3 linked regions of the Drosophila melanogaster genome follow. The protein of the gene in region 1 interacts with the protein of each later gene in a pairwise test. Each region holds a gene or a part of one and is shown in the gene's direction. Other genes may lie near its edges.

Region 1 (5,669 bases):
GTAAATATGAACTAAGAATTTGTTTGTCAAGGAAATGTGTTTCTAGGAAAGTACAGCATCGCTGAACCAAAATGTCATACGATCCCCATCGGTAAGTTTTTGAGGTACTTTGATCGAGTGATTCCGTGCCACGGAGTTGTAACGCCTAAAGTTTTCATTTCCGGCGTTTAGGCGATCCGCCATTTCGGCAGCCTGCTGGTTCAAGGACTGTCTGTAGGATAAAGCTGCTTCCGAATGAATATAGCTGGGGCCATCCTTGGATTCAGGTAGTACATTTGACTTGTTGGTCTTTGAAGGGACACGATCATTCCAAGAGTCTTGCCTTGCATTACTTGTGGCAACAACAGACGGGGCTTGTTCTTGAGAACTGGTCAGCTTCTTATCTTGCATTTTAAAATCGGAATGCTTTGGTTTTGCAGATTTTAGAGATTGTTTCGAGTCTGAGTCAGCAGGATTTAATTTGAAGGAGCGCTGCGTTCCAGTTTCTGATGGCTTATTTGAAACTTTTGATTTCATTGTGGTAGAGGAAGCTTTGGCTGCTTCTGAGAAATGTTTCGACTTCAAAATTGACTTCGGAGTGAGGGTGGTATTTGAGGAAATACTGTTGCCTATTGCAGATCGTTTCAATGTTATGTTCGAAGACTTTGAGGCCACGTCACCCTCACTTTGCTTATTTGTGCAGCTCGTCTTGGATGCCGCACTGAATTGTGATATGGATAATTTGGAATTTGCTCTACCATCACCACTGACCTGACGGTTTGACCTTATTGGCATTAGGGTGCGCAAAGAGTCCTTTGAAACCGCTTCCTTTGATTGAGATACCTTGGACAGCTTCGTTGTTGAAACACCACCCGCATCAATGCGATCTTTTTCATTGAGAACTTCGGCCTGCTTCTTGGCCACGGCCATCTCTTCATTGATGGCCTTGGAAATGTCCACCTCGCCGATAGTCGACTTGCCTATACTTTGGTTGCTCTTCCGGGAAACCAACTCCTCTGATGGTTGTACATATTCGGACTTGGGTACGAATACCGGTGGCGGATACGTAACGCATGTAGGTATTTTGAATTCAGATCGGGCTCCACTATTGGGTGGTCCCACATTGAATGGATTGAAGGGTTCTACGTCGAAGTCATCAGGAAACATGTTGGGTAGACAGGTTGGCAATTTCCTGTGGGACCTACGTGTTTGACCTTAACCTCTTAAACACCCAGAACCCACAAAAACTTACCTGATTCGGATTAAATTTTAGAAGGTATGGGCCAGGATGTGGTAATTTCTTGTGTTTGTGTCGGAAAGCCAAACTATTTTTTTCTAATTTTTGATTGGCTTTTCGATTAAGGCATCTCAAACGAACTGACACAAAAATCAGTTTATACTAGTCTTGAACAATTCCATTAAGGCAATCACTCTGTTTTAGGTTCTTTCTCTGTTATTTGTGTATACATAATTGGTGTGGCCACATGAATTCACATTGTTATTTTACATTCAAGTAATCTTGGTTATCCCTTTCTTGTTTTTCTTTTTATCTCTGACAATCTCGGGTGCCTTCTTCAAGTTCTACTCTCGGCTTAATTAAAAATGACTCCCGCTTCCTAGAGAGCTGACAAAGTTTATCAATTCGGAGTGTACGTGATGATAAGGTCGAAAATCCTCTGAGTTTTTCTTTCTTGCAAATATAGGGTGGTTGCTCAGAGTTAAGCCACATTAATTAGCAGGCCGAGGGATTTTCAAGCGAGTGCTGAGATTCTGTTGTCAGATCTATCTAAATCTCTCGTCAGTATTTTGATCAACTTTTAGGAGTGCGGTTGCTGAAATTCGAATTAGAAAATTCTAATAAAAAAAAAGAGACACCATTACAATGAAAAACTCAACTGTGCAAGACAGTTCACCGCAAGTGCCACAGAATGGCATGGTCACCTATGGCAGCGGGCTCGTCTTTGGCGGGAAAGTTTATCCGGTATTGGTGGACGGAAAGCCAATACAGCCACCCTTAGGTGCTCATCAGGCAGCAATGCAACAGCGCATGCAGATGCAGCAGGTACAGCCACAGGCGCCACATACCAACTGCCCCAAGTCCATTGTCCAACAACCTATATATCAACGAATGGAGACCCGGTATCCTGCGCCCTCATACATGTCCAAGCCAAGCCAACAGAGCTCTGTGAGTTGTCCTGGCCCAGTCATGGTGCAGCAGCACTCGCCGTCTAACAATCTCGCGATGATGCAACCGTTGCAGGCGCAGATTTTACAGCGCCAGCAAATGCAAACCTCCATGGGCAGTCCTTGCGGCTACTACAACCTGCCAACGAATGCGGGTGGTGATTCCTGCGGCTGGGACGGCTATGCCATGATGCAGCCAATGGATGCCAACAAGCCGTATACCTTTGGCTGGAGTCTTACCGATTGAGTCCTTTATCCTCTGTAACATTGTCCAAAACAATTAATGAAATTAAATGTGGATTGATTTATTCGAATTTGTTTCAATCAATGTACGTACTGCATGACTACTGTAAAAGTATTCATCTCTCTTGAAGAAGTTCCCCATAATGGCAGTTACTCGTCTGGGCTTCCATTTTGCACTTCATCGAGCTCTGAGGTTGCCCCTCGTATCAGTGGCACCTCGTTTCGGGGGTTGGTCGTCATTTAGTGGTAAATTTCCGTCTTAGTTGCCAGCGAACGTCAGACGTGACATTTTGCAAATTCCGTTTTCAGCATTTTGTCGAATCGTTCCAGCATACATGTGCCACTGAAAGTGGATTCCCAGCACCACCACCCATTTGCCTATTGATGCAGAGCTGCCGGTGGTATCAGTGGATAGGGGGGAGCATGTGTGGCAAAAGGGTTGTAACTGGTTTTCTAGTGGCTTCCGATTTTTTCACTGGCATTCAGCGACTGTTGTGATGGTAGTTTTATGAGAAGTGTCTAATGCCATTAAAATATTAAATCGTGGATTTATATATTTATCAGAATTTGCTAGGCTTTAAATTAATCGAAGATATTAGTGAACTGACATTTCCGCTTTCACATTGCTTATAGCTTGAGGGTGGAGATGGAAAGGGATGCATCGGTTATGCTATATTATTTATTCTACGGCATACCTTATTATTTAACCACAAATAAATGCCAGCAAAGTTTAGGATTTCAGCAAATTAATGCCATCGCAATGGACGTTACTATGGAATCAACTTTCCTGCTTACTGTGATAATTAACATTATTTCCATAAATAACTTTCTTTGTGGCGTGCCTTCGATGCTAAGCTTCTGACGTCATCGGGATTGTGCTAAAGAGAAAACTCAAACCGCAAGCTGCATGTTGGCAAACACTGACACATACCCACTCCGCTCTCTAATGATGATCCCAAAAGTCAACTTGCTAAAGTAACACGAGCTCAAACATGCACATACACACACACACACAGCACAAACACAGGGACAGCGGACTCTTAAGCACATAGTGGTATTAACGCCATAATTCGTAAGTTACACACACACACACACACACAGGAGCCGCAAAAGGATTAAGTTATATTAAAGTTGCAAGCGCTGCATTTTAAGTTCGCCTCCTTTGACGATGCCATAAATGCAGGAAGCCACGAAGTCGAAGCCATGAAGTCGAAGGCAAAGCCAAGGAATTTGCACACACGATCTTGGGTGCAAAAGGACTCTGCTGGCCGAAAAGTGCGCTATGCAAATTCGCAGTGACCCACATTTAAAAAATAATATTAATATTCGGAACGTCGAGCCAGTTATAAATGCAATATATGGCATAAGTTTACGCAACGCAATCCGCCGCCTTCGAAAAAAAAGCCGCCTGGCTTGTATAAATGTGCAATATTTTTATATAGTTGCAGTAGCTGGAATTTTTTGTTGCTGCCAGCCCGCAGGTCAAGAGTTAATTTTTGTTCTCTTATTTTATTTCATTTTTTTTTGTTCTTGTCCTTGCCTTTGCGTGTGCGCACATTTATGCGAAAAGTTGACGTAAAAGTTTAATTTAAAAATGCATTTGGACTGACTTTGACCGTTTCGCTAAAACAATAAAAAAAAAAAAAAATGGCAACCAACAAAAAGCGCCACAAAACCGACAACTATCAACTGCAAAGTCACTGGAGCAGCGAGACATAAAACAAAATTAAATAAATTGACTTTCTTTTGGCTTCAGTTCTGCGCATTTAAATCAATTTACGCTTCGTCTCTCTTTCGCATTCATTAATTGCCAACTGGAAGCTTGATGTTTAATTGTTTTGGCTTTTGTGTGGATAAAGCAGTAGAGAAATGTGCGGAATAAGTGTTTCCATGCCCTGGGTAAATTCTAAGAATTCTCCTAATTCAAAGCGATGACTGATTAAATTAGATCTACCAATGAAAACTTGGCGAGCTTAATTCTCAACCTGTTCATGTTGCTTCTTGACACTTTGCCGAAATTTGGTTTACGACCCTACCGTGTCTAATAAAACTTATATGTCTGGGAGTAATAAAACCCACACAGCCCCCGCCATTCCCGTCGAAATGCCATACGATTTTTTAGGCCAGACCGTTCGGAATTTTGCGAGGGCGAATGGAAACGAGCAGGCGACTTGTTGAAGTGTTTATTGTTTAGAATCCCGCGGCGTCGGCATCAGAATACATAAAACATTTTTTCCTTTTGAATAAAAGATACGCAGATGAGAGTCTTCGAAGGCGGCTAAGTAACCTCTTCAACTTCTGCATGGTTTGGGTGAATGTCTGAGAATTGGATACGCATTTTAAATGTGAAGGAGGTATCCCAGGCTGTTTTTCTTAAATTTAAATATGTGATATGTGTAACCGCATTCCAACATTTTGAATTAGTTCTGGCCGTCAAAATGCTCTATTCTCTGCGTGTGACTGAAAAATGATAGGATTTGTGTGGTTGCAAACACTTGTGTATGTATTGGGACTTCTTAAAAACTGAGAAATCAGCGCTTCGGCTGTCAACAGCTGCTGAGCTCGATCTAAAGATAAAACCAGTTTTCTGTAGCACACCTTTATTTCAATTCACAATGGATAGAAAGATCCGAAACACCCTCCGTCGAACTGCTCGGCTCACAAAACGGAGGCGCTCAGCAGGAGGTAACGAGATTAGCAGGAACAAGGCTGTCGAGCAGCGAACGGTGGAGATTCCTTTGGACCAGAGGCAGGCCCCACAGCAACGGGTCTTCCTCTACATCCAGCTGAACGAAATGAGCAAGCTACCCGAAACGGGGAATCCTCTGGAGCTGCACCTCTACCATCCGAAGAACACACTGCAGAAGATGCAGGAGCGCTACACGACAGATACCATAATCTATCAGCATGAGTTCAATCTGAAGAAGCCCGTATTTGCAATGGGTGTGATGCAGGACGATATCGAGGACATGAACACGTTTAGCGATCAGCCGCTGTTGATATCCCTCTATCAAAGGATTCCCAGGCGCCGCAAGGGAGGATCTGGGAAAGGGAAGTCAAGGAAGCATGGACGCACATCCTCTTCGCGTGAAATAAATCAATTAATCACAGATGCCTTGGAGAGTAAAGAAAATGTTCTAAAGGAGAGATCAAGTAAGTGGTCATCCGAACGTGATGGTGAGGAAGGTGGAGAGGAAGGTGAGGGAGGTACCTTTTCGGAGGAGCGACTGGAACTCCTATCCCGTGGCCACTGCGATCTTCTA
Region 2 (6,623 bases), 370 kb from region 1:
GTTACGACTCAGTGTCAGGTGCATTTGGATGTCATTAAAAGATCTCTTCAAGAAAAGATTACTCAGGCCGAGAAGGAAAGAAACGAATTGGCTGTCCGACACAAGGCAGAGCTTGAAAAAATCAGGGAAACGCTGAAGGAGAAGGAATCTTCTTACAAGGAGAAACTAAGGCAAGCGGAGGAGGAGCGCGATAAGGAAATTTCTAGGCTTGAGGTGATGCGAAACACAATAGCAGAGCTGCATAAAACGAATTCTGATCGGGAAGTGGAACTCGAGGGAGTGAAAATGGAAAAATGCCAACTTAAGAAGCTGTACGACAAAAGCATGTTGGAGCTAGAACAACTGCAATGCACTGCCGACCAGAAAAGTTCGGATTTGCTGCCAGGCTCGTCGAACGAGAACATCGATGACCTGCAAAAGAAGTGCGATCAATATGTTCAGGATTTGGAGCTGTTGAGGGGCGAGAAAGCAGAACTGCTATCGGAGATCCAGAAAATCAACGGACAGCACTCGAATACCATAAAAAAACTTGAGGAAATCGAAGCGGAAATGATTACACTAACCACTCAAAAGGAGTTGGAGAGGTGTGAAATTGCAGAAAAGCTGGAGACTTTCAAGTCCAAGGAGGCAGATATCAAAGAAGCTCTGCACTGTGCCCAGCTCAGGCTTCATGCCTACGATAAGCTGGTGTGCGAGTACGAGCGGCTAAAAGGCTGTCTTTCGGATTCAAATAAGTTGTCGGAAAATCTGCAGAAGAAAGTGGAGCGTTTGCATGCTGAACAGCTTGCTTTACAAGAAGGAATTTCCGGCCGAGATTCAGAGATTAAACAGCTTCGCTCTGAGCTCAAGGACGCCATTGATGAAAATAAAACAGTGAGAGAAGCAAAAGTAGGCCTGGAAAATAGTCTTAAAGCAGTACAGGAAAATATGTCTGCCCAGGAAGGTCAGTTTAAACAAAAGATTGCTGATATTAAGGGTTCAGTAGACGAGCTTCAGATTAAACTAAAATCTCTGCAAGAAGTAAGAGACCATCTAGAGTCTAGAAATGAAGAGCTTAAAAGAAAGCTAAAAGATGCTCAGGAACTACAGAACATGGTGGATAAGGAGCGAAAGCTCAATTCCTCTCTACGAGAAGATTTTGACAAACTGGAACAAACCAAACTCGATCTCGAAGAGCAGCTTCGAGCCAAGAAAGTAGAAATCGATCGCCGATCCAAGGAGCTTGGCGAAGTGACCAAGGATTGCGAAAATATACGATCCGATCTGGTAAGTTTTATTTATTTAACGCCTTCACTTTTGTATTCTATTATATTTTATTCTATACCAGGAAGCTCAAACTAATGATTTCCTAAAAGAAAGGGAAACTTTGAACTTGACTATATCCGATCTTCGGTTGCATAATGAGCAATTGCTAGAAACCTCGAAAAATTATCTATCAGACATAACAGCAGCAAATAATTTAAATCTCGAAATGAAGAAGAATCTTCACGATCTCACAAAAGAGTGCAAGAGCTTACGTTCCGATCTGGTAATAATTAATCTGGTAATCTATCTGGTTGATTACAATATAGGTAATTAAAATTTTTCAGCAATCCAAAGAAGAATATTTCCAAACGCAAAAGCAACTGTTGGATGAAACAATTTCTAATCTAAAGGAGGAAAACCGCAAGATGGAGGAAAAGTTGAGTTCGGGTAACAAGGCGCTCAAAGAGGATTGCGAAAAGCTCCGTTCAACATTGGTAATATTAGACTTGTCTTTGTAGGTTATTCGGTCGCTAATGAAATATTTATTTAGGAATCAAAGGAACTTATACTGCAACAGAATAAACAAGAGTTAGAGGAAAGGCTGACTGTTATTAATGAGAAGAATGGGAAAAACGCACTACTTGACGCCCAGTTGAAATCCAATGAAACCGCCTTTACATCACTGCGAAAGGCATGGATTAAGCAAAGTTTAGCCATAGAAGCGGCCAATAAAAGAAGCCTCGAGATGGAACAGAAGGTTGATAAACGTACGAGGGAGTACGAAGAACTACGATCAACTCTGGTAGAATAATTGCAATCAAAGGCTCTTATAAAATAGCTTAATGTTTTCTCTTTAAATCGCCTAGAAAACCAGGGAAATCAACTTTCGATCGGAGAAGGAACGCATGGACGGCACCATCTCTAGCCTGTTAGAAGACAAGCGTAATCTTGAGGAGAAGTTGTGCACAGTCACCGAGCTCCTGGCTAAGCTAAAGCGCGAACTGCCGGCTTTACACACGCAAAAAGTGAACGGAGGCGATGTGTCCATTGAGTTGAATTCCTCGAATGGATCGCCGACTCCTGCAGCTGTTCCAGCAACAAAGAAGCCCCTGGACTGCAATTCCGCTGAATGTGTGCCAAAGGTACGTATGATCTTCTAAATTTCAAGCATGTAATATTTTTTTTATTTCTCTCGTAAAGAAATCCAGCAGCCTAGAGACTGCGGAGCGGAAGAATCGACGGATGACGGCCTACGATGAGAACCGTAAGCAGTTTTGCTGAAACGACTTACGTGACGGCGGAACTACGACCGTTCCTTTAGGTAAGTTAAGGTTTGCTTGGCCGCGAAATCGTCTAAACTTTATGTGGTTTTAACTAATATTGCAGGTGGCAATTGCCACTGCGAGCAGCGGAGCTGCAAACAAAGACTGAGTTCGGACTGGAGGCAAAACGTTGAGTTCAACGATGATAAAAAAGATGATTAATGTTATCCAAGTATTAGGGATTTCTTTTGTTAGGTGTTATCTTGCAAACGGTGGAATTCCACATCATAAAGTTTTCTATTTATATTTACGCCCTAAGTATTTGTCAAATACTATCAATACAAAAATTACAAAAACAATCGTGATCGTAGTATTTAAATTTAAATCTGTATTATGCTGGTTTTTGTTTAATAGTTAAATTCGATAAATAGTTAAATATTGTTAATTAAGAAATGTTTCCTTCATCATGTGTAATAATATTTGGTTCATATGTATAGCATTGAATAAACTATTTACATTTTCTTAATGTTAAAATCAGATTCGCATAAGTTGCTGGTTCTAATAATAAAAGACATAAATTACTTAAATGTAAATCTAAATAAGCATAACGCTTCTTGTTTGAATTCCCGATTGCACCAATCGATAAGTCGATAGTAGCGCAAATACATATTCTAGTGTTGTGCATTGGAAAATTGACGGCCGCTTGAGTGTTGTGTACGGCGTCAGTGTTGAATAGCTGCGGACGCAAAACTACGTAAAATTACGACAAAAAAACAGCGCCCCGCGAAAAAAGGCCATGAACTCGGCAATCAAGGTAGGTTCAGCCGCTCCACCACATCCGCCGGCAGCTCCGACCGCGTTGATCCCGTCGCCAGCGCCTCCGCGCGTTGCAAGCGAGAAAAAGGCGGCGCGGGAGAGAGTCGAGAGTCATTCGTTTGTCTCACTCCTGCGAGTGGGAAATTTGTTGTTCCACCGTGAGTGGGCCGGCGGGCGGTGGGCAGGGGCGGTGCGTTTGTTTTGAATTTGCACGCGGTAACAACAAACTGACTCCGGATGCAAATCCGCATGCACTTGCAGGTGGGGGAGATATTCACGGCCGCCGGACAGGCGTTCAGCAGACTGGGCGATCTAACCATGCAGCTGCATCCCAATGCGGAGTCGCCATCGGGGTAAGTTGATTCTATGCGGTGGAGTCGCGAGTTTTGTGGACACTAATCGGAGTGTTTCTGTGTGCCTTGTTCCCTCGCCACGGCTGCAGGAAGTGGACGGACGAGGAGATCGACATGCTGCACTCGTCCATAATGCGCTTCTCCGACGACCTGACCAAGATCAGCCTAAGCATCAAGAACCGCACCGTGTAAGTGATCCTGTGCTCCTGGCGAGGGAACCGGCTGCCCAGTGTGTACGTGCTAGTTTTAATTGACCTTCCCCATTGCAGTTCTCAGATCCGCCAGGCGCTGAAGAAGAAGGCCTTCGAGGACGCCGGCATTCCCGCCAAGCAAGTGCCCGTCCAGCAGGTGCAACACGTTCTCCAGACGCTGCCACAACAGCAGCCGCAGCAGCCCCTTCAGCAGCCACCTCCTCAAGTATTCAAGTCACAGCCAATCGTGCAGCACGTACAGCTGGTGGCGCAGCCAAAGCAGATCATCCTGCATCCACAGTCTAATACAACTACGACGGGCACGACGGTGACTGTTAAGCAGTACCAGCAGATGCAGAAGGCTGCGGCATTAGCGGCAGCCCAGGCTGCAGCCTCGACGGCCAACAACACGCCCACCATCACGGAGAACATCATTATCCAGCAGCCCACTTCGACTACGGCGACAGTGGTGCAGCAGCCACATATGGTGTCCACCTGCTCGTCGACGCAGATCGTGGTGCCCGTTGTGTCGGCAGTGTCCACTGTTCCAACAGTACTCTCGCCCACGGTGGTGATTGCCGACGATGTGGTTAGCACCTCCAATCCTCCAGCGGCAGCGGCGACAGTAGGATCGCCAGCAGGGGCGCCAGCAGGCTTAAAGTGCGGACCAGACGTGTCCATGACCCTCAATCGCATCAATGTCCAGGAGAACGAGGTGGACGTGGAGGAGTGCCTGCCCGCAGAGGTGGTCAAGCTGGATTTTGTCAGCGAGGAGGTGGCCGGGTGAGGTTCGAGCCCTCGGAACGGGCTGGACTTCTTCTACTAGATCTCCGGCCGCAGAACGAATCACGTAACTTGGAACAGAACCGCTACAAATCCAGATCGAGAACTCTTAAGCAAAAAGGTTGAGATGCCGCCCTAGCCCTAAGTCTAAACTGTTAAGTGTTGTCATATTTGATATACCCTGAAATCACCTTGTTCCGGGCCCCGGATGACAAATGAATTGTGCGATGTGGAGGACGAGTCTGTGGATCGCCAGCCACAGAGCGTAGATATTAATTGCGGAGCGTATATGCGCCGCCTAGACTTAAATTTACGCAAGACACAATAGTGCAAAGTACATAACGACGATCGTGTAAGTTGAGAGTGAATAAACGAGCATTATTTTAAGATTCGGCGATCTCTGGGATTTTATTGGAGTTAGGAAAGCCCAAGGAGCGTAGAAATTTAGTTATTTGCAATGGCTTCTACAATCTCATTGCTGTAATTTGTACTTCATACTTTTATTTTGATCAGACTGTATTATAAAAGCATATATATAATTATATTTTTAAAGCACCCAATGCAAACTCAATTGTGTTTCTAATGGTCCGCTAAATTATATTGCATTTTATCTTTATTTGAATGTACCCATCCAATTTATGGGACCTATTTTATAAACCTTTCCTTTTAAATGCACACCACGTATTTTAAATTCATCCAATTATTGTACAATGAAGTCTCGAGAAATTTCGAATGCATTTTCAAATTTCGTTCTGCTCATAATTGCGCTCGCAACCCATACATTGCCATTCGCATGTCGGATTTCAAATCCGCACTTTCAGAATTTCCAAAGCGGGTAGCAAGAAGAAGAGCGGCTAATAAAGATACGGATACATCAACAACAACAGTCGGAAATCCATTGTTCCCCACAAAATGAGACTTCGTTTGCAAGTCCTGGTGGCCCTGTTAACCTGCTCGTCCATTTCCGTCTCACTGGCCTACAAACCGGTGGTCATACTCCATGGAATTCTATCAGGAGCCGAATCGATGGCCTCTCTGGTCCGGGAAATCGAAGAGGTTTGTTTTTCGATTCCCCTTTGTTATTGTTTACAGTGGCAAGGTCGAATTTGACGCAAACAACGCAGTAGCACTGATAAACTCATTTCGTCCGTTTGTAGTTTCATCCTGGCACTATCGTCTACAACTGCGACAAGTTCAATGGATGGTACAGCTTGGAGAACGCCTGGCGACAGGTCGATCAGGTTAGGGATTATCTCAACGAGGTGGGCAAACTGCATCCAGAGGGCATCATTGTGCTGGGTAAGGCAGCCGATTTTCATTAGAGTATTTTCTTTTAGTTACCAATACTATGCCTTTTTCAGGATACTCACAAGGAGGCCTTTTGGCCCGGGCGGCCATCCAAAGTCTGCCCGAGCACAATGTGAAGACCTTTATATCTCTATCCTCGCCACAGGCGGGGCAATACGGCAGTAAGTGAGATCAAAGTTTAAACCAATGAGTAAATTCTATTTATATAGATGCATAACTGCGTCACATTTTTCCGGGCTAAACTCTTTTAAAGCTTACAAGAAACAAATATATTATGTAACTGTGTTCAAAAATTACGCAGTTGGGTTATAAAACAAAGGGGGATCACAATGGTTCAAGTTTTTATTTTTTGGTAATATTTTCAGCTAGCTTCTTGCATCTAATCTTTCCCGACTTGGCGGCCAAGACAGCCTTCGAATTGTTCTACTCGCGCGTGGGACAGCACACCTCGGTTGGTGGCTACTGGAACGATCCGCAGAGGCAGGATCTCTACCTGAAGTACAGCGAATTCCTGCCACTGATCAATAATGAGAAGAAGACCTCCAACTCCACATCTTTTAAGATGGGAATGGTGCGTCTAAATAAGTTGGTAATGATCGGCGGACCCAACGACGATGTGATTACTCCGTGGCAATCGAGGTATGGTTTACTTAGTCGGATATTAT
Region 3 (5,632 bases), on another chromosome or scaffold:
ACTATTCAATCAATAAAGCAGATTCATATAGTTTTAATATACAAAAGGTAAATTTAAAATTCCACTTAAAAACACCTTGGAATAGTATTAGAAACAAATCCAAAGATTGAGATTACTTTTCAATTCTTTTAAATACAAATAAAATATAAAACATAAGGCATTCAATATTTTAGCATTGATCGAAAACTTCTTGAAAACAGCGCATATCCTGCAGGGAAATTCAGGATCGTGAGCGGAAAATGGGAAAGTGCGCCGGGTGAAGGCGGGATGAGACAAATCGGTTTAGCCTAACTGCACTGACAGCCAAACACAAACACACTCGCAGCGGCGCACAATTGAATTTATGTAAGCCAGAGTTCTACAAGCGAAACACAAAAAAAAAGGAAATCGGCGAGGAGAGAGGAAAGAGTTGGGTGTGGGGGGGGAGGGGGTGGCGAAAAGCAGGAAAAGCCACGTGGAAGGGCGGGCGAAAATTGCGATGAAAGGGCGGGAAAAATGGCGGGCACACGGAAAAAAGTTCAACCGTTCGGAATCGGTGCCTGGGCATTTGTGTTATCGGTAATTATTTTGCCACTTTTTCAAGTGCTCTCACCACTTTCACCCGCCCGCCCGCCACTTGCCCTGCAACTATCCCCATCTCGCTCCCGCCATTTGCCATTTGCCATCCCGCTCCCACCCACCAAAGTCGCCACTCGAAGTAGAGTTGAACTAAGCTTATTTACCCATTTTTGCTAATGGCATGGGAGGAAACCCATGGCGAACAGACAGAGGCGGAGAAAGAAATAGGTAGATGTGAATGGAAAGAGAGAGAAAAAGTGGTCCACCGGCTGTAGTAATGCGATAAAACTACACTGTGCTACAGTGGTGAAGATTTACTAAGAGGAAGTCATATAAATCTATGGGTTAAGTTCCATAATTTATGAAGCTTGCTATAAATTCAATACTGCTTTGCATACATAGTCTCAAAGACCGAATTAACTTAGTAATTAATCTGTAAGTCAATTTTTTTCCTTACTATATTTACTTTGTCATTTTGGCTCACTGTGCTGGTCCTTTGTCCTTTGCCAGCTACTTGAATGTTTGCTGTTCCCAGCCAAAACAGAATGCAACTGCTAACATATTTGACCCAAGTCGAAGTCCCCCACCCCCCTCGAGACGCTTCGCCTCCTTGAAGTCCGACTGTGGTATGCGTTTGTTTGCAAACTTGATGAACTATGCTATGCACTGGCCTCTTTGTCTTCCCGCTTTACCCGCTGCCCTTTTCTAGTTACCAGCTCGCCAACCCAGCTGCCCTGGCCCATCAGTCTCCCATCCGGCATAGTTGGCATCACATAATTTGGAATGACCCAAGGTCAGGCGTTGAAATATGAACTCAGTTGATCACTTACAGCGCTTAAGACACGAAAAACCAGAGGAATTCCAGCATAATTTATATTGAGACAAATTTCTTTGCACAAGAAGTGCACAGTGTGTAGTCATAAATAATAGTATCGGTTTAAATAACTTCAATTTTATTGCAATTTAACTACTATATAGTTAAAGTAAGAACCTTGAATATTAAAATGTGCTGGATTTTTCTTTCAGTGCACCAAAGCTATGTGCTGTAATTTTAATTTTCCCACCCAGCATTTCGGTTAATCTTCGCTGTGTTTGTATATTTTTTTCTTTTTTTTGCGCACTTGTGTCGCACTTATGTATCATCATTTGTTTGGCTCTGATTTAATACTAGCAATGACACAATGTTGACGCCGGCCGAGGACAGGCAATTTAACTACGTTGTCGCCACTGCAGCGCGTCAAGGACGTGGGCATGACAGTCGGATGGTCACCCGGCCTTACAGTCATCCAACCATCCAACCATCCAAGCATCCAGCTATCCTGCCATCCGGCCAACGCCTCATCATCGCCCCTCAGTCGTCATTCCGTGTCCCATTAGGCGTGGGCCTTTGTCTTTGCTATCATTATCAACACCCTGCCATGTTGCGTTCTTTTATTTTTCTCTCAGCTTACTGCTTATTCTTCATATTCGCAGGCACAGTTAAAAATAAAATGCGGCCAACGTTGCGTATACGCAATATCAGCATTGAATATTAAGCATACGCAATGTTGAAACATTTAATTCCTTATTGTCAACTAGAACTATAAAGTAATAATTTATACTGTACATTTGTTATATATGTATATATTTTTAGTATGAATTTTCTTTCACTGCATCTGGTTGGTTTATGAGACATTTTGTTGTTGCTTATTTTGCTTTCGCCTTCGTTTTCACTCAGTTCAAGTGTTTTGCATTTTATGCTTGGCACAAGAATCAAGTGGAATGTGAATGGCCAAGAGGGTGAGAACCTTAAAAATACCGTATTTAAATGCCAATCATGTGTGAATCAAAACGTGTTAGATGGGCTATAAGATCAAGTTGAAAGTTAAACACGAAATAGCATATAATTGCTTATATTTGCCAAAATGTTCAATTACTTTAATCGAATTTAATGCAGTTTTATAATTGTTTTATAGTTAGCAAAGTAATTAGATGCACAATGTTTTATTTCTATTTTATGGTACCAAGTCTTTAATACCCATTTAATACCCAGTGTGTAAATAAACGTTTGTTGCCGCGTCTTCGTCATTATCATCTGTGCTGCATCACGACAGTTGGCGTCCTTTTTCAAAAATTAAACACAACGCTGGCCATGCCACGCCCCTCGGTCGCCCACCGCCCCCATTTTCCGACAAGGCTAAACCAAAAAAAAAAAATCATAGAAATAGGAATCAAGACTCAAGAGCAAAAAGATGAAATGAAAATAAAAAGAAATGTCATTTATCACAATATAAAATTGTATGCTAAATAACACGGAATGACCTGAATTAGAAGCACAAAAACCTTTATGAACAATCTTATGTCAGGTTAATAAATCAAATATTTTACGATGATGTACATATATACTATGGTAACTTATAATTTGCTATTCAAAATATTTAGAAAATATATTTACTCTTAGGCATTTTATGGAAGAGCTAAACCTAAAATATGTGCCAAGGTAAAACAATCAATTTAATATCGTATGTATTTTCATGGCCAACTGCAATCGGTCGAAAAAAAATTTCCAAAAATTTCCAATCAACATATCCATGAAATTAAATGTCAAGCCGAAAAATCGAGGTACCCCAGCCGGAGCTCCAGATTATCAGTTATATTTTAGATCCCAAACAGTAAACACCGTTCAGCGGAGCAAAATTTTGTACAACTTTTATTTGGTCAAAAAAAAAAAAATCGAAAGAAAAACTGTTTCTTTTTCACCACTTTCCCAAATTATTTGTATTTAGGATTTACTCAACCGCAACTCACAATATGTCGAATTCGTTTTCGTACTGGAATGGCCAGCCGTTGAATGCTCCCGTTTATCCGCAGATGGGTGACTTCATGCAGCACTCTGCCGCTGGAGCAGCCGCTCCACCACCACTATCAGCAACAGCAGCAGCACCAGGATTAGGATCAGCCGGCGGACTAGGAGGTTGGCCTAGCCAGGGCGCAGCTCAGGCACACTCCATGCTACCATACGCCGGAGGAGCCGGTGGCATGCCGGCTGCCATGCCGGGTGCCATGCCGGGCGTCATGCCGGGTGCCATGTCGGGTGCCATGCCGGGTGCCATGCCGGGTGCCATGTCGTGTGGCATGCCCATTACAGGAGCCCAGCATATAGTGCCGCCACCCGTGGACCGTTCAATATATGGAGACATACCCGGACGAAATGAACCGTGCATCGACAATGGCGAAGCCTTCTGCGCCTACAACGGCATGGACATGAGCATGAACTACGGCGGAGGCAGTGCATCCAAGGGTGGCTTCTGGTAGGATCGATGCCACGAACAATGACAGCACGAGCATCTTCACCGAACGACTAAAGTGAATCGCATATGGGCCATATACATACACAATTAGTTTTCGAACCAAACGTCCGTTTTGTGCAGCTCAAACGACTCGTACTTGGCGAAAATGTATAAAATAAATGTCATAAATCCATAAGATATGAAAATAATCAGTTGGCACAAATCGGTGGGTGGGTTAATTGCATTAATAAATACAGAGATGAGTTAACGTGCGGCAAATTGAATGTGAGAAGAGCGTTGTAAACTCAAATCGCATATATTTTATATGCTAATTACTAAATAGGCAAAATGTGATGTATGGCAAAGGTTACTATTGTTATTTTCACTCGGCAGTCAAATATTGAAGTTTTATTTTTTATACAAATAATTAAAGCACAAATCAAGCTTACATTGTAAATATTTCGATTTTTCTATTTAGTTTAAACAAATCAAATTTAAATAACTAGGTGCAAACCATTTATAAGATTAATAGACCCAATTTTCCACCGTATGATTATCTTGAGCACTTCGTATAAATATATGTTCTTGAGATTCGCATTGTAAAGTACAAAAAACAATACAAGTTTCATCGTTTCTAACTATGCAAATACAACGCCTGCCGCCCCTTTTGTCGTATCACAGGGCGTGGCTGATTGTCACAGTGATGAGATGGCAATTTCTCAACACGCTAACGAGATGCACTTACAAAAAAATGGGTATGCCCATTGGGAAATTATTCTTAAAAAAAGATTCGATGATTTATACTAAAATTACATGAATTTAGCATAATCGTAATGTTACCAAGTCATTATATATTTATTCTATTGTTTGGCTCGAACTTTTCTCTCAGTGTACTAGGCTAGAACTCGTTTGGAGAGCGCACGCAACCATCGCAGCGATATATAAAGTGGATCTTCTGGCCGAGATTCGAGTAATCATCGTTGAAATCGCAATCGAAAATCATGGAACGCTGGCAGAATCGCGTGGCCGTCGTCACTGGCGCCAGTTCGGGCATCGGATCGGCCATAGCCAAGGATCTGGTCCTAGCCGGAATGACGGTGGTGGGTCTGGCCCGACGTGTCGATCGCGTCAAGGAGCTGCAGAGGGAGCTGCCGGCGGAGAAGCGCGGCAAACTTTTTGCCCTCTACTGCGACGTGGGCAACGAGAGTTCCGTAAACGAGGCCTTCGATTGGATCATCCAAAAGTTGGGCGCCATCGATGTGCTGGTCAACAATGCCGGCACCCTGCAACCCGGCTATCTGGTGGACATGAATCCGGCCGTAATGCAGCAGGTATTGCAGACGAACATCATGGGCATCGTGCTGTGCACCCAGCGAGCGGTGCGTTCCATGCGGGAGCGCAAGTTCGACGGCCATGTGGTGCTCATCAATAGCATCCTGGGGCACAAGACCATGACGGCCACGGAGGGCGTGGCGCCCGATGTGAACGTCTATCCGCCCAGCAAGCATGCAGTTACAGCGCTGGCCGAAGGATATCGCCAGGAGTTCTTCGGCCTGGGCACCCGCATCAAGATTACGGTTGGTTCGCTTTCCATTTTCCACTTTCTTCGGATTGAACATTTTTCTAACCCCTTTTTGGCTTTTTCCGCCAACGTAGAGCGTCAGTCCGGGCGTGGTGGACACGGAGATCGTGCCGGACAGCATTAGGGAGGCCATCAAGGATCGAATGCTCCACTCCGAGGACATCGCACAGGGAGTGCTGTACGCCATCGCCACACCGCCACATGTCCAGGTGCACGAGCTGAT

What was found.
Region 2: the proteins of CG12307 (region 1) and CG33695 interact in a two-hybrid assay, tested with the Drosophila melanogaster proteins (one large-scale study listed by BioGRID).
Region 3: the proteins of CG12307 (region 1) and CG1394 interact in a two-hybrid assay, tested with the Drosophila melanogaster proteins (one large-scale study listed by BioGRID).

Annotation. Positions count from the first base shown.
Region 1 is NT_033779.5:11,648,132-11,653,800, reverse strand, and holds CG12307 (uncharacterized protein), read left to right. Parts: upstream 1-1,790; 5' UTR 1,791-1,861; coding exon 1,862-2,410; 3' UTR 2,411-2,470; downstream 2,471-5,669. Other genes in the region: CG4983 (uncharacterized protein), read right to left, coding at 43-1,146; CG6614 (uncharacterized protein), read left to right, coding at 5,022-5,669.
Region 2 is NT_033779.5:11,274,810-11,281,432, forward strand, and holds CG33695 (uncharacterized protein), read left to right. Parts: upstream 1-3,211; 5' UTR 3,212-3,303; coding exon 3,304-3,321; intron 3,322-3,341; exon of another isoform or gene 3,342-3,560; coding exon of another isoform or gene 3,561-3,584; coding exon 3,585-3,676; intron 3,677-3,765; coding exon 3,766-3,864; intron 3,865-3,945; coding exon 3,946-4,654; 3' UTR 4,655-5,038; downstream 5,039-6,623. Other genes in the region: cana (CENP-ana), read left to right, coding at 1-1,266, 1,328-1,528, 1,590-1,739, 1,796-2,047, 2,112-2,387, 2,446-2,526; Ppt2 (Palmitoyl-protein thioesterase 2), read left to right, coding at 5,563-5,706, 5,808-5,949, 6,012-6,119, 6,324-6,597.
Region 3 is NC_004354.4:11,168,226-11,173,857, reverse strand, and holds CG1394 (uncharacterized protein), read left to right. Parts: upstream 1-3,179; 5' UTR 3,180-3,348; coding exon 3,349-3,852; 3' UTR 3,853-4,047; downstream 4,048-5,632. Other genes in the region: Antdh (antennal dehydrogenase), read left to right, coding at 4,829-5,404, 5,484-5,632.